2 linked regions of the Drosophila melanogaster genome follow. The protein of the gene in region 1 interacts with the protein of each later gene in a pairwise test. Each region holds a gene or a part of one and is shown in the gene's direction. Other genes may lie near its edges.

Evidence for each region. The genes of interacting proteins can lie anywhere in the genome.
Region 2: the proteins of Obp18a (region 1) and Lrp4 interact in a two-hybrid assay, tested with the Drosophila melanogaster proteins (one large-scale study listed by BioGRID).

Annotation. Positions count from the first base shown.
Region 1 is NC_004354.4:19,132,437-19,139,527, reverse strand, and holds Obp18a (Odorant-binding protein 18a), read left to right. Parts: upstream 1-3,659; 5' UTR 3,660-3,684; coding exon 3,685-3,735; intron 3,736-3,789; coding exon 3,790-4,125; 3' UTR 4,126-4,447; downstream 4,448-7,091.
Region 2 is NC_004354.4:15,907,785-15,916,571, forward strand, and holds the start of Lrp4 (LDL receptor related protein 4), read left to right. Parts: upstream 1-3,085; 5' UTR 3,086-3,204; intron 3,205-3,582; exon of another isoform or gene 3,583-3,870; intron 3,871-4,123; 5' UTR 4,124-4,287; coding exon 4,288-4,339; intron 4,340-4,994; coding exon 4,995-6,310; intron 6,311-6,371; coding exon 6,372-6,493; intron 6,494-6,565; coding exon 6,566-6,757; intron 6,758-6,821; coding exon 6,822-8,287; intron 8,288-8,689; coding exon 8,690-8,787. Other genes in the region: CycD (cyclin D), read right to left, coding at 1-15, 75-249, 313-534, 753-1,325.

The DNA of each region.
Region 1 (7,091 bases):
GTTATGGTAGTTGCCTCTAATACTATTGTTATTAAAGCCTCTACCGCGGTTACTACCTCTATTGGCATTTCCGTATCCTCTATTGGGTCTGTTACCTCTAAAGTACATCACTTTATTGATGTCACCGGTAACTCTTGTACTCGTTCTTATGTATGCGCTTATCGCTGCATCCATAGTGGTGCAAGTCCCTGCTTCCAGTACTGTTTTGATACTTTCGTGCTCAGCACGATGTATCATGGTTTCAATTGCCTCTTTGGTGCTTAGACCAGTGGCATGTTCTAGAGGTATACCCTCATCGATATAGGAAGCTTCTAAAAGTTTTCTCAGGCTATCAACTTCAGCGGTAAATTGCGTTGCAGTTTTACCTCTCTGCTGAACTGTTGCTAGCTTTGCTTTGACATTACTGGATGTCTCACCGACAACTACTTTCTGCAATTTGTTTATAATTGCTGGAATTGTCGTTTCATTGTCAACTGAGTTCAAAATTGTGCCAACTATTTTTGACTTAATGACCTCAACTGCAATGTCTTCAAATGGTCCCTTAGCTAGGTCTACCAATTTGATTGCCTTAATGAATCTTTGTAAATGGATCTTTTGCCCATCAAATTCTGGCACTGTGCAGGCGACTTCCCTAATGTAAGACCTAATGGCAGCTGCTTCTTCTGCCATGGTTAAGTTATTTTCGGAGTCGGCTGCGTTATTTGTTTTATCGTCGTTCTTCAGCATTAATTTTGCTGGTATAGTTAGATCGTGAAGATCTTCCTCTTTAATGTCTTCCTTGACTATAGTCCTATCTTCCTCGTCAGAGTTAGTGCTGTCTTCATTCAAATTTATTCTTAGTGGGGTGTTTACTATGGTTGGAATTTCTATCTGGAGACTGAATTTATTTTTTATAAATATTAATTTTTCTCTTAATGTCACCAGTAGGTTCAAAGCCTTAGCACACTGTTTGCGTTCCAAATTCTTTCTATTTTGTTGGATCAACTCTCTGATTTCATTATAACTATTTACCAAGACTTGGGCATTCCTATTGATTGTTACAGCTTGTGTTGATCTGTTTTGCGTTAAGCACTTATAGGATTTTCTGAAATTTTCATTTTGATCTTTTATCTGATCAACAAGCTTTTCCCAGTCCATGCTGTGGTATACTCATAACTTCAAATTTATTCATTTGTATATATTTTTTTTTTTAACGTAGATAAATTCAATATTACGTTTTATATTTTTTTTTTTATTTATTATTTTTTTTTTTTCATATAATTTTTCTCATATTTTCATTCATAATTGACTTTATTAAAGATCTTCCTTAAATATTATCTATACCGTTAGCAGTGCTACGGTATCGTTTCTTAAGACACTTGTTATGCAGTTTGTATATTTTTATTAATGCATTGGATACCATAATTAATGCAATTACAATTAGTATTATGGTTATCCAGAACAAGTCTGCATTTTGGACTTCTACTTTATTTATTACATTGGCTGTAGAGTCCACAGTTTTAGTGTCTATTAGACCCATTTTGGGTATACTAATTTTATATTTTGGAGAATAGAATAGAAAATTTCCTTTGTATATACTTTTATTTTCAGTTTTACTTATTTCATTTGTCTCTATAGACATTTATGTTTGGAATTATCTATTTATAAAATCTTTCAATGTTCGCAAGAGTAAAAAAAAATTGTATTTTACATTGTTGCCTGCCTGATTCTAGCTATGGCTTCACGGGCCATATTGGGTTAACAGGGCATAATAGTATATGCTCCGTTTTACAATATTTCTTACAATTTTTCTTATCTATATATATTTTATATTTACTTTATATTTATATATATTTATTATTATATTCTGCTGTTGATGATGCTCATCAGGTGTCAGCTGGGCGTCGCCGGGGGTGGCACGCTGACACTCCCTCGCTGCTGTCTATTTCTTCGCCGCTGAAGACGTCGATGGTCGCTCACAAGTCCCCAGGCAGTGGGGACTCCAGATTCCTTCGCAGCCAGGGGGGCAGGACTTCTTTGGTTTTGTTAATGCTGGTGCTGGTGCTGGACATGCCTGGTATTTTGGAACTTCATTAATTGTGGGTATATTTTTAATATTATCTGAGTGAGTTTTCTCGAGCTTATGGGTCTTTAATTCTTGCTGATATTGCAACAAGTGGTCTAGCTCTGCATGTAGCTTTAGAGCTTTCGACCAAACCGGTGGCGTTTGCTGACCGTATATTAGCCACCTTACGTGGGCTATACGTTTATTCAGCTTAGTTTTCAAACCGCCACGGTGTTTGCCCATACTCAATAGAACTCTACTCACTCAGATTTTTCCTTGGTTTTTGCAGTTCCATTTAATTAGTCCAGTCTTCTTCCAGTCCAGTGTTCCTTTGTTCCTTTGTTTTCACCAGCTTTGGTCAATTCGTCCAGCGTTGGACGACTGTCACGGTCGCCATGTAATGATGAACTCCAATTCAGAACACAAGTCCGTTTTAAGTTGAAGGCAGCCGTCGGGCTGACATATATTTATTCAATTTCTTCTTTTGATTTTAGAGTAGGCAGAAATGGTTCTGTCAGCTCAACGTCTACAGAGTCTCTCTGATTTTACAGTTTTTAATATATTTGGACTTAGGCTAATCCGCGTAGCTGCGCTGCCGGGTACGCCAGCAGCGGAGCGGCGTTCTTATGTATATCTTATATATCTAGGCTTATCGGGAGAGCGAGATATGTATGTACGTATGTAATATGTATTTGGTCGGCGTGTGAATGCTGACCATGCACTTATACTTTTTGCCTTCGAGTGGGTGATCATGTTACATCCGCCCTGGCCTAACTGCGTGCATAAACATAAACATAAACATAGCAACAAAGTGCTGCCATAAGTTAATATGCTATTTTATTTAATTGTTCTTAATATTGCATAGGCACATACTACAGTTTAACATAAGAATACTTTTTTTTTTTGTTGTCAGCTTTAAATGTACGTGTTTTATTGCTAATTTTAATGTTCTAATTACTTTATTTATTCATTGGAAATGGGAATTCGCATAGACGAGCCCATCACGAAAATACTTACCAAAAAAGACAGTAGACTAAGTTTATACTAAAGATAATTAGGGGAAACCGCAAGAAAACAAAGAAAAAAAAAATGCAAAACGATAAACATTGTGGCGGTACAGTGAGCACTGCCTGCGGCCAACCTAAAAACATGACGAAATATTTTTTTTTTTTTTACATCGTGTATAAGATGTGATATTCGCTGCAAATCGCAAAGCGTGAATATAATTTGTATTTATACCTATATTAATGAACCATATAAAATATACGAATAAAGTCCAATACAGTAGATAGGCTACACATATGTTTTTTGTTTAAACTTCAGAGATGCTTGGAGTGTAAAAGCCAAAAATTGTATGTTTTCTATCTTAATAAATATGAAGAAAACCAAGTTGGTAATTTACTATTGGCAATTGTAATGCAGATATTGCGCATACGACATACGTGTAGCTCATAATCGGGAACTGCGCTTAAAATTTCAATTATAGACTTTATTTGTTGGTGTGTGGCGAATGTAAAGTAGCATCCAATTATTTAATTAAAATCTCCTGTCTACTTTTGAGCTGAATTAGCAAATCGATGGGTTATATATATAGAGCTGTGATGATGCGCTCATTGTTAGTTGGGAAACAGATTTTCGCCATGAAGGTTGTGTGCAGCATAGCTGTACTATGGATTTGCTTGATAACTATGGTCAGTTCTTAACGAAATAGTTATGTGTCCATCTAACAATACCATCTATTCTAGTGGCAATCAGCTGGCCGCGTTAACGCAGAGGGTTGCCTAAAGCACCACAATCTGACCAGTGCCCAAGTGCAGGCAGTGGCTCCATCCACTCCCGTTGCGGATGTTCCAGTGGCCGTTAAGTGCTATAGCCGGTGTCTGATCCAGGATTATTTCGGTGATGATGGGAAAATCGATCTGCAGAAGGTGGGAAAGCGAGGATCTCAAGAGGACCACGTGATTTTGTCCCAGTGTAAGCAGCAGTTCGATGGCGTCACCAATCTGGACACGTGCGACTATCCATACCTGATTCTCCAGTGTTATTTTAAGGGCAAGCAGAGTGGAACTATCGCCTCGTAATTTACCAAATAAACAAAAAATAAAGTATACATATATACATTACTACATACATATATGTACACACACATGACAGACACAATGGGCTTCATCACAGTTCATTGTTGAGTCTTCTAATCAGATCAAACGCCCTCTAATGGAAATTACACACGATTGTGCTTAGTATAAGTGTGATTTTCATTATTATTATTTGTATACAGTGATTAATAATTGTATTAGAGCAAAATAGTAGACATGCATTGTTTTAAACTCGTCTGCTTTTTATTGATTTGTTTTATGCAAAGTAACGTAGAACTGGTGGAAATACATAATGCAATAATAAGTCAATCAGAGTCTTTATTTTCCGAAAATTCGCAAGAAACATGGCCAAATAAATAACAGAAAATTTCAGTTTGCTGACCAAATATGTATGTATGCATGTACATATGTACATATATGGGTGGACTGGGAAGCCAAACACAAAATTTTCCCCCTGCTTGAATAATATTTGAAATGGCAGATATGGAAGATGCAATTTGAACATAATTGAAATGCAAATCGCAGACTGTGAACTGCAGAACCGACTTGATGGGGCGGATGTGTGGACGTAATAATGAATCCCAGTCGACCCCACAGGATGCAGGGCAAATTTCAATTTTCCCAGCAAATCATACGTAAAGTTTGGCCAAATACATTTTGGGCCAAGAGGGCCAAAAAGGGCCAGAAGGATGTCAATGCAATCAGTGAGGCATTTGACTTGGCCTTTCATTAACTCGACTCAGCGCAGTCGAGTGCAAAGGACACAGTACATAGTACACAGGACGAAAGACGCAGGACGCAGGACGCAGGACATGGCACACGAACTCCTTGGGCGACATTGCGGCTGCCACAAAAACTTTTTGCTAGCCAATCATCAAGAAAGCCGCCGAGTCACTGGTTACTGGTTACGGGTTACTGGCAATACTGCTTATATGTTGGCAATAAGCAACGGCCCACCCAAATTAGGAGTTATTTTGACCAGTCGGAAAAGGAAAAAGGGGGCGTTGCGCAAAGTGCTGAAGTCAGTGGAAAATTTGTGGGCAAAACATGTTGATGACAGGCAAATATGCTGTAATGCAATTATGGGCGGCAGTGCAACCAGGATAGCGATTTAATTGACAATGCAAATTGAATCAGCATTTGTAGCTGTCTAATCGAATTAGCCCCGCAGAAAGCGTCCTTTGCATTCTCTTCTCCATAATTCAATTCCTGACTTGCCGCATCGCAGAGAAAACGGGGTTGCGGATTCGGATTCGGATTCGGATTCGGTTCGGTTATGGTCATGGTCATGGTTTTGGCTTTTTTAGTCCGGGCTCAGCAAATAAACTTTGCGTTCTCATTGCGGCGACAGTCGACTGCAGTTCACTCCTGACCACAGGACCCTCTCGTCCTGCAGTCCTGGCCAGACCAGGCCGTTGAGTGAACCTAACCACTGGAACGTGCCTTAACTTATAAAATGTTGCCCACTGCTGCCAATTGCAGCCAGCCTAAGTGGACTCACATCTCCTGGACCGAAGCTTCAATACTCTCAAGAAATCCACAAGAAGCCTGCCGATTTTAATTCTTCTGGCTAAATCAAAGGACAAACAGTTAACAACTTGGATTCGTGTTCGCTGTGTTTTCTACAGCTTTTTTAAATATTAGCTTTAATCGCAATCAATTTTCGATAGTCTTAGTGGGCCGAAAAGATATTAGGCTAATTTAAATTCACTTAAATGCAATTTAAGGTCAGCAATTTTCAAAGTACTTTGATGCAAGTAAGTGCATAGATTAAAAGAGCATTTGACTTGTGTGCCAGAGCCCAAAGGACATCTCATCTCGCTTAAACAAAAGGCATCCCCTAGCCCATCGCTTCCCACAGATCCACTTGAGCCAGGCCCGCCACCTGTTGGCGAGTTTTGGGCGCAGGACTCGGGTCGAGCTGCCCGGCTCCAACTGGCTCATCACCAGAAAATGCTGCTTGAAGTCCCCGTCCGAGAATCCCGACATTAAGACGCTGGCAATGTGTAATAACTGGCAGCTTGAGATGAAGGACAAGAGCGAACCGTGCGACTTAGATGGGGATTGAGGATTGGGCATTGAAGAGCGAGCGGAGCCGATGTGGATGCGGATGGGGGTGGCGGCAATGGGTGAGATCTGGAATGACAGGACGCTGAGCTGGCAGAGCAGCAGCATCATCATCGTCAGCAGCGGCTAAGGATGTGACAATGCTGAGCCCGTTTGACACGAGAATGATATAATAAAAACCGCAAACAAGTAATGCCTACGAACCGCAGTGCTCAAACCGAACGACTCCTTCCGCCAGTCCGGAGTCCTGCGGATCCAGTGTCCTTGGACCGAGTCCAAGCTGAGATAACAGCAGCGGGAGGAGTGGGGTGGCGCGGGCAGACGCGGACTGCTCAAGTGCTGTTGTCAGAGCGCTCCTCTGGTGTCCCACATTTCGTCCTGATGTCCTGCACCTGAAGAAAAAAAATGTTGAATAATGTTTTGAAAAGCGGCTGAAAAGGCATGCGAATATAGGCAACTATTGCATTTCAGCATATCCATGGTACTCTTACTTACCTTTTACTAAATACTCGTCTTTCGAATAATAAGATCGACATCCTTGTCATCCAAGAAAATATCCTTATTATCCTTAATTCAGTGGCGGAATCATGTGATCATAACTTTTTTTACAGCAACCTTTACCGGACTAATGCTGATTTCCTAGAAAGTTTAGTGCGCAACTTTAGATGTCTTTCTATAGAATGAAATATAAATATTTGTAAACAATTTCATTTCTTTCAATGTTATCTAGGGGCAGTGAGCATGCCGTTATCCTTTGGCGTGATTAAGCCACAAGTGCGTGACATTTTAATGCGACATTTATGCCCGGGACAAGAGATTATTATTGGAAATGCGCGCCCGGCTCGCGTGACAACAACAGGACAATGGCAAAGGCATAAATATAT
Region 2 (8,787 bases), 3.2 Mb from region 1:
TGGCAAACTTATGTTCTTCAAAGGAAGGGGTGGGAAGTCAGTACTTAAGTTGGACTGTTTTGTATATGGCTTACCTTTTGCTGCCAACGATATAAATGCCTGAGCATGTCCCCGCACTTTGCCAATGTTTATGTCCGGAAAGTTTTTGCTGCCTATCGGCAGGCGCATCATCAGAAGCTCAAGGAAGTCCAAGGGAGTCACAGATGAGAGGTCCCAGCCCAAGCGACTTAGCACATACAGCTCCCATTTCTTGGGAATGAAATGAAACCGCATGTTCACCGAAAGGTATTGTATTACGAGAAAGGTACTTACAATCAAATCATCCTTGTAGATGCTGTTGTCCGTGTAAACAACGAGTAGATCCACCGAAAGAGCACGACAGCTGGGTTCACGGAGCTTTGAAGCCAGTAAGAGGCAAGCTGCGGCCAAAATTTGTAGCTGGGTCTTGCGTACTGATTTGCTCGAAAGAAATCGATCCATGTAATTTAATGCCAGTAATACGACCTCTTCCTGGCAATTTTCCTCGGCACACACCTGTGAACATGTATTCAATTAATGAACGAAAAGGGTAGTCAAAATATTGTAATGGGTGTGCGATAAGGACTACTAAAACAAACACTAATTAATGAAGTTCTTGGAAACTTCCATCTATTTGGTAATATTTTCTAACAGATTATAAATAATGCGTATATCACAGTCGGCTAGCTTGATATGATTTGGATGCTGTATCTACATTTCGTTTAATTACTCACTTCCATCATCCATTCGGCGACAATTTTGCGCATCGGTGGCGTAATATCCTTCTGGATGCTAAAGTACGTGTCGGGAATTTTGTGGTGCTTCTCCTCGACCTTGAGGAAATTCTCCAGACACCGATCCGAATACAATGTGGGATCCCCGATGGCAGTGTTCACGTTGTCGGTTGCGGGTGGATCGGCTGTTGTGGTCAGGCGTTCGTCGAGTCGTTGGCAATGTGACGTCGGTGGCTCCTGGCTGATGTAACGCGGATAACTTTGGATTGATTGGGTCGCTGTCGGTGGTGGTGGCGGCGGTGGTGGAGGTGGCGGAGGCGGCTCCAATTGTTCTGGATTTTTCGCAGCCGAGTCCACGGACGCGTATATATACACCAGCTCCTTCATATTGCACACTACGGCATTGTTCTGGGCATCCGGATGGGAATCGGATTCCGCGTCCCCCAAGGATGAACATATCGATGATTGATCCCGAATGATCGCCGGTGAGGACATTTGCTGCTGTCGTTTGTTCAAACGATACAATGATGGATCTGATTCGTAGACTATGATTTCCGAGCATAAAAGATCCATTATATCGGCCATACGTTCCGTTTAAAGCTATGGATTCTATGGATCGCCGCACTCTCAAGCCATTTATGTGTGCCGATTTATCAGGAACTTTGGGTAACTCCGATATGGGAACACTGCGTACAATAGGAAATGATCGTACATAAGTACATACATACATATGTATGTTGCAACCTTCTTTTCACATTTAATTCAAGTATTTGCTCAAGTATGGGCACACTGCGGGCATATGTGTTTAGTCCTGTGGGAGCACTAGAGTATAGCATATAACCCTAATACCTTGACTTATTCATATGCACATTACATTATTTACATATTTTTTCGACCTGCTCAGAAATAACTCGTTCATTTCACACTATGTACTTATGTACATGTACATGCATGGCTATGTACGATCAGCTCGAGAACAAAAGTTTTCACTTACGCCTATTCTCGGAATTCTGGTTATATACAAACGGCACAGCACTTCATGGAGTAATGTAAATTAACTATTAAAAAAGTATACTCGAAGTTGCACACGTTTGCCACTTAACCGGCGTGGACAAAGCATTTATGTGAACCAGATAGTTACACCTTATGGCAGAAAAAAACTAGTTCAGCATGCCGTCATCGGAGTTATATCTCTTGCTCACTGCGATCAGTAAAACATATCGATCTTCATCGGTTATTAGTATAGTACTATCCTTTGCAATGAAAGGCAAGCGAAATACGTTGAAAAGGGGAACCTCCTCATTGCGTTTCCAACTTGTTGCTTGTGAAATATGTTTCACTTAGGGTTGTTATTAGAACATTAAAAACTTATAATCCATCAATGGGTTTGATGGACTATAAAAGGGTCTTACCCTTATAATAAAAACAAAGTTCTTCTAATTGCACTACTTTTTTTCTTAAATAAGCTTTTTGTTATACGATCTTACGAACTTACTCTTGATGTGAATTTCACATCACTCAAGTGTTCCAATTACTCCAGCAAAATCAAAAATACTAAAATATGCTAGGGCGTTGCCACCCTGCATTCATGTAAGGATGGTACTGACAGTCGATCTTTCGGCATGTCATACATTTAACGATCGTGGTCCACGACAAAATGGTCAGTAATGCAAAACTCACTGGCATCACCCTACTAGGTTGAATCGTGATCAAAACACCCTTATTAAATTCCGTTTAAATGGCCGGAACCTGTTGATTAAATGGCAGGTTGTTCGAAAGAGTCGTAAATAAATGAATGCTGCACTTAAAGATCCTGTACCGCTTACAAAAAGCATTGAACTGCTGTTATTTTCTTTAGGGTTGTACTTAAACAGTTTTAGATGACAAACAGTAAGACATGTAAGAAACCTAAAATAATTTCACTAAAAAAATTCTAAAAGCAATTGTAAAAAAAAGATATAATCTTTGCTGCTTTGTTTAATAATTAATAAGATATTGATAAAAGGGTAAAAAGCTTTCGCGACTTAGGAATGCCAGGTTAATGATAAACAAAAGTAACCTGTGGATCCCTTCCGAGAAATGATGTACCGATATATGTACACATCGAGATTAAAATGGACTTCCATGTCCATTGTCCTAATTTCGGTGCTGCAGTTTTTTGTTGTTTTTTAGGAAAAACTGCAGCGTGGAGAATGCTTTCAATGATACAATCCTTAATTGGGTTCGCATTTTGCTAACTTAGTTGTTGCAAATTAATTTACCCTCACTCTCGGCACACAGACAAAAGCTCGCTTCCCAGAAAAAGCTTAAGGATTCAGAGAAAACTTTGAAACAGCACACGAGAGTTGAGTGGAACACTCGCGTCCGCCGACTTCGCTTTCCGTCAGAGGGATGCTGTAATCCCCTGAAATTTTATATTCGTTATATTCCCGAAGAAGACAAGAGACGTGCTGTACGAAAATAATTTTTCATTCACGTAAATTACCCACACAAATGTGTGTGGAACAATTAGCTGATTCAATTGTTCTCGCCCGCCACTTGCTAATTGGAATCGAAAAGTGTCAAAGTTTCAGGAGGTTCTTTTTGTTTAATAATACTGTGTTTAATATGCATATGTTCGCGTGTGTGGTGCTCATGACATACATACATAAATGCCAACAAAGTCCCAAATATCGCATTCATTTGCGAGGGGACTTCGCAGGACGTTATAAACACCTTTATACCACATTCTGGAAATGCCAAACGCAGTGCCAAGCCCACGCAACTTTATAATAGGATATACATTGAATGAAGTAGTGCCATGAATGCCGTGCCGCATGATATTTGATCCATTCACGGAGTCGGTCCTGGACCTACAAAGTCACAATAAACCTTCTGTTTAGTGAGACAGCGTAATGTGAAAAATGTTGAGGACGTACAAGCCAGGCATTTAAATTTATTAACTTACAATAAACATTTATGTAAATCATAAAAAACCCAGTGACACAATAAGTAAATAACAAAGACCAGAAGTAACCAAGTGCTTACAAATAAGATGAATAGAGTAAAATCTATTGAGTGACACCTACGCAAAGAACGAGTGTGCTTAAGTGTAACATATACACAACATATACATCAGGTGGGCGGGTTTTGCGCATAGTAACCCCCCTCCCCCAAGCCCAAAACTTTGCATTAACTTTATATTGTCCAAAACCTAGAGACAAAAAATCATTGAGTGAATTTCATTATTTTAAAAGTTACGCCCCGCCCCCCCTCAAAAAAAGAAATATATATATAAAACTCTAGATCCGCCTTGGTAGCAAAATATGTTATACGCAAGCGCTCAATACGAAAACCTCCTTCTCTCTACCTTCCTCTCTTTCTCTTAACAGAATCGGAACAGCAGTTAGCAGAAAGCAACAGCACAGCAGCAGCAGCAGCAGCAGCAGCATCCGCTTAGCAGAGCAGCAAATGCTTCGGAAGCAAAAGCAGTAAAGCTCGCAGCGCTACTACGTTACGTGCCTATGAGTGGGCGAGTTTGTGTACATGTCTGGACATGTATTTGACAGCCTTTCCCTTTTGGCCATTGGTATGCTTCGTGTGGCTCTGTAAGTATTGTCCTCGCAACACAGTTTGTCCTGGGGGGAGATGAAGGGTATCTCTCTGTTAACGCCCACGATGCGCTCAGACCAACAGCACTTTTTGCTCAATGAAAACTTGCACACGAAAACTAGCCAATTGAGAAAATTCCCTGCTCAAGAGGGCTTAATTGTAATACGAATTTCCAGGAACATGCAATCTATAATATGTATGTGCAAGGCATCAAAGAACATGCATCGAATTGAATGAAACTTTTTTATTTAAGGATATTGCTTGCATACAAAACGTGTCCATGACTATGTACATATGTATGTATGTACATATGTATGCATGTTTTTGTAAAGCTGTTTTTGAACTATTGGAAAACCTTTTAACTCAAGACATGACCTTTGTATGTATCAAATCAGAAGCATTGCATTCAATGCTCCTTTCCTATGAAAAGTGTTGTATTTTCCAAGAACATTGCAGTGGCGTGGGAACAATAGCAAAACGTGCCTTTTGCTATCTGCTTTGAATGAGAAATAGGGGGGTTTTCCTTTAACTACTTGTAGTTAACATTCAATTCAACTTAACACGACTGAACTTGTATGATAAGGCAAAAGCCTTTGCTGCATTTTGAGCTAATTAGAAGTTAAATGGTATCGATTTAAATCCTTTGACTAGGTCTCGGTCTCGGCGACTTGACAAAAACTGCTGTGAAACGTAACGCGCCCCACTATGGAATTCACCCGACAAACGCACTGGGTCGTTGGGATTGGAATAAGCACAAGCAGCTGCACTCGGATGCCAGAATCGGACATTTAGAGGCGGGCAACGAGTCGCGGGAGGATCAGCTGTCGGAGGAGCTGAGCAAGTTCGGCGAGAAACTCTTTCCCGTCTCCAACTATCCGCCGTATCAGCAGAATAACGAGGATAGCCAGGAGGTGCATCATAGTGGAGAGGGAAGATTGCATACGATGGAATCGTCTGTGCCATCCAAGACTAGAATATCCGGTGGCACAAATTCAAACGATACTCCCAAGTTCCGGAACATTGGCGCCCAGAGGGGTAGAACCGAAATAGCCGGCATTCGCGAAACTGATCGAATCAGTTCACGTGGTCGAGATGGTTTTATAGGTGGTCCGAGTAACAAACAGAAGCCATTTAGAGTCAATCTGGCCGTTCTGGTGCAGGACGATCCCAGTCAACCGGGTGAGACATACTCCAATTGCCAGAACTCCAATGAATCCGACGAGAACTGCAATCCCGAGGAGGATGCAGTGCCGAATTTGCAAAGGGATTGCGAGAAGACCGGGATACATGTGATGTGCCCGCGAACCTTTCGATGCATTAGCAAGTATTGGCTCTGCGATGGAGATGATGACTGCGGTGACTACTCGGATGAGACGCACTGCGGAGCCAGGACGAATTGTACAGATGATCAGTTCGAGTGTCTCAACGGATTCTGTATTCCACGAACCTGGGTATGCGATGGCGAGAACGATTGCAAGGACTTCTCCGACGAGACCCACTGCAATCGCACCACCTGCACGGATGAGCACTTCACCTGCAACGATGGCTATTGCATCTCCCTGGCCTTTCGTTGCGATGGTGAGCACGATTGCAATGACAACTCGGATGAGCTCAAGTGCGCGGCGGTCATAAACAGCTGTCCGGAGGGCGAGTTCAAGTGCCGCGGCGGTTTGGGTGGAGCAGGTGGTCCCAGTGGCCAGTGCATTCTCAATCGTTTCCGCTGCGATGGCGACAACGACTGCGGCGACTGGAGTGACGAGGAGAATTGCCCCCAGAAGCCATCACTATGTACCTCGAATGAATACAAGTGTGCCGATGGCACCTGTATTCCCAAACGTTGGAAGTGTGACAAGGAGCAGGATTGCGACGGCGGAGAAGACGAGAACGACTGCGGTAGTCTCGGCTCGGAGCATCCCCTGACCTGCGGATCCGATGAGTTTACCTGCAACAATGGGCGCTGCATTTTGGTATGACCACTGGAGTCTCCTTAACTTCTTTACCTCATTGAGTTTTCTGTTGTCAAATCAGAAAACTTGGCTCTGCGATGGCTATCCAGACTGCGCTGCTGGAGAGGATGAGGTTGAGTGCCACCTACAATGCGACCTGGGACAATTTTTATGCCCAACCAAACAAAACCTAACAAATCTTAAGTAAGTTGAATTGCTCATGATGTCCTCATATCACAAGCAATCCAATTACCAATTCCCGATTGTATTTTTCAGGATATGTGTCCATCAGAAGCACATTTGCGATGGCCACAACGAATGCCCCGCCGGCGAGGACGAGGCCGACTGTCCCAAGGAACGAAAGTGCTCGGAACCGAGTCCTTGCGAGCAACTCTGCATTGAAACCACTGCAGGATCGAACGAGTGTGCCTGTCGACTTGGATATGTCATGGACAAAAACAAAGTCAAGTAAGTAGACGATTTGTTTACCGGGTATTTCGTATGATATTAAAGTGATGCCACGATTGTTTAGCTGCACGGATATAGATGAATGCCAGTACCTGACCAGTCCGGTTTGCTCGCAAAAATGTCACAACACTATGGGTTCCTTTAAGTGCTCCTGCGAAACGGGCTACATACTTCGTCCAGATCTCAGATCCTGTAAAGCGCTGGGTGGTGCGATGACCCTGCTGGTGGCCAACCGATGGGACATACGACGGGTGACGTTGAGTAATAACCGATACTCGGCGATTGTTAAGGGACTTCACAATGCGATCGCATTGGACTTCCACCATCGCAAGGGCCTGATGTTTTGGTCCGACGTGTCCACCGATGTCATCAAGATGGTGTATATGAATGGAACGCGAGTTCGAGACGTCATCAAATGGGGTCTGGAGTCGCCGGGTGGCATTGCAGTCGATTGGATACACGACCTGCTATTTTGGACGGATTCGGGCACGAGACGTGTGGAGGTTTCCAATTTCCAGGGAAACCTGCGCACCGTCATCGCATCCTACGATCTGGACAAGCCACGTGCCATTGTGGTGCATCCGGGCGAGGCGTTGGCCTTCTGGAGTGACTGGGGACCGAATCCGAAGATAGAGCGCGCTTACATGGATGGAACACAGCGAAAAGTAATCATATCAAAGGGTGTAACCTGGCCAAATGGCCTGGCAATTGACTTCCCCAACAGCAAGATCTACTGGGCTGATGCCAAACAGCATGCCATCGAATGCTCCAATTTGGATGGCAGTGATCGAAACAAGATCCTTAGCACCCATTTACCACACCCATTTGCTCTCACTCTCTTCGAGGACACCATGTACTGGACGGACTGGAATACGAAAACTGTGTCGGCGGCGGACAAGATAACAGGGAAGGAATTCAGAGCGGTTCATGAGAATTTCCATTTCCCAATGGACATCCATGCCTATCATCCGGCTCGACAGCCGGAATATGCTGATCGTTGCCAAAAGGATCGGCGGGGTCTGCGCGGTGGGTGTTCCCATCTCTGTTTGCCGAACAAGACATCACGACGATGCGGATGTCCCATTGGACTTTCGCTGAAGGAGGACGGCAAGACGTGTAAGAGTACGGCCGATAAACTGGTGTTGGTGGCGCGACGAAAGGACATTCGCTTGCGTCATCTGAGGGACAATCAAGCGGATCCCAACGATGTTGATATGATTGTACCATTGGATAATCTGAAACATGCCGTTGCCCTGGATTGGTGCAGCGACACGGACTTCATCTATTGGACAGACGTGGAGCGCAGCACCATCAATAAGGCGCATCTCAATGGAAGCTACCAACAGCGAGTGGTGCACTCGAATCTTGTTTCCCCCGTGGGTCTGGCCCTGGACTGGATAACCGATAAGCTCTATTGGACAGATCCGTCGACGAATCGCATTGAGGTCGCAACTACGAATGGAAAGATGCGAACCTTGCTCATATGGGAGAAGCTGTACAAGCCACGGGATATTGTTGTAAACCCGATTGGTTAGTTGAACCACGTATAATTTATTTATCTATGTCATGTTTTGGTGTATGTAGCTAGCTGTAGGATTAAGATACTTGCTCAAGTCCTGCATGAAATGGACGTACTTTTGGGTACTCCATATAACTTGTTAAAGTCGTTTCATCATTTGCACTGTGACCACTCAGTCTAGAGAGTTGAAACACTCGAGTTCTATGTTCAGGTAGGCTCCGGTTTTGACTTTCGAATGCATGTTTCAATTTACTTTTTAAAACGCAAAAAAAAAAAAAAGGAAATGCATCCGCTTATTATTATATCAAGCGTTTTAAAGGGTTAAATGAGCTCTTACACCTATAATCAATTATTATTTTACATATTCCATGGGTTAAGCTATTGTGCTAATCTCTTCTACTCTCCATTTTAAGAGGGCTTTATGTTTTGGTCGGATTGGGGTGATGATCCTATGATTGAACGTGCCAATATGGATGGACATGAACGTGTAACCATAACATCGAAGAAATTA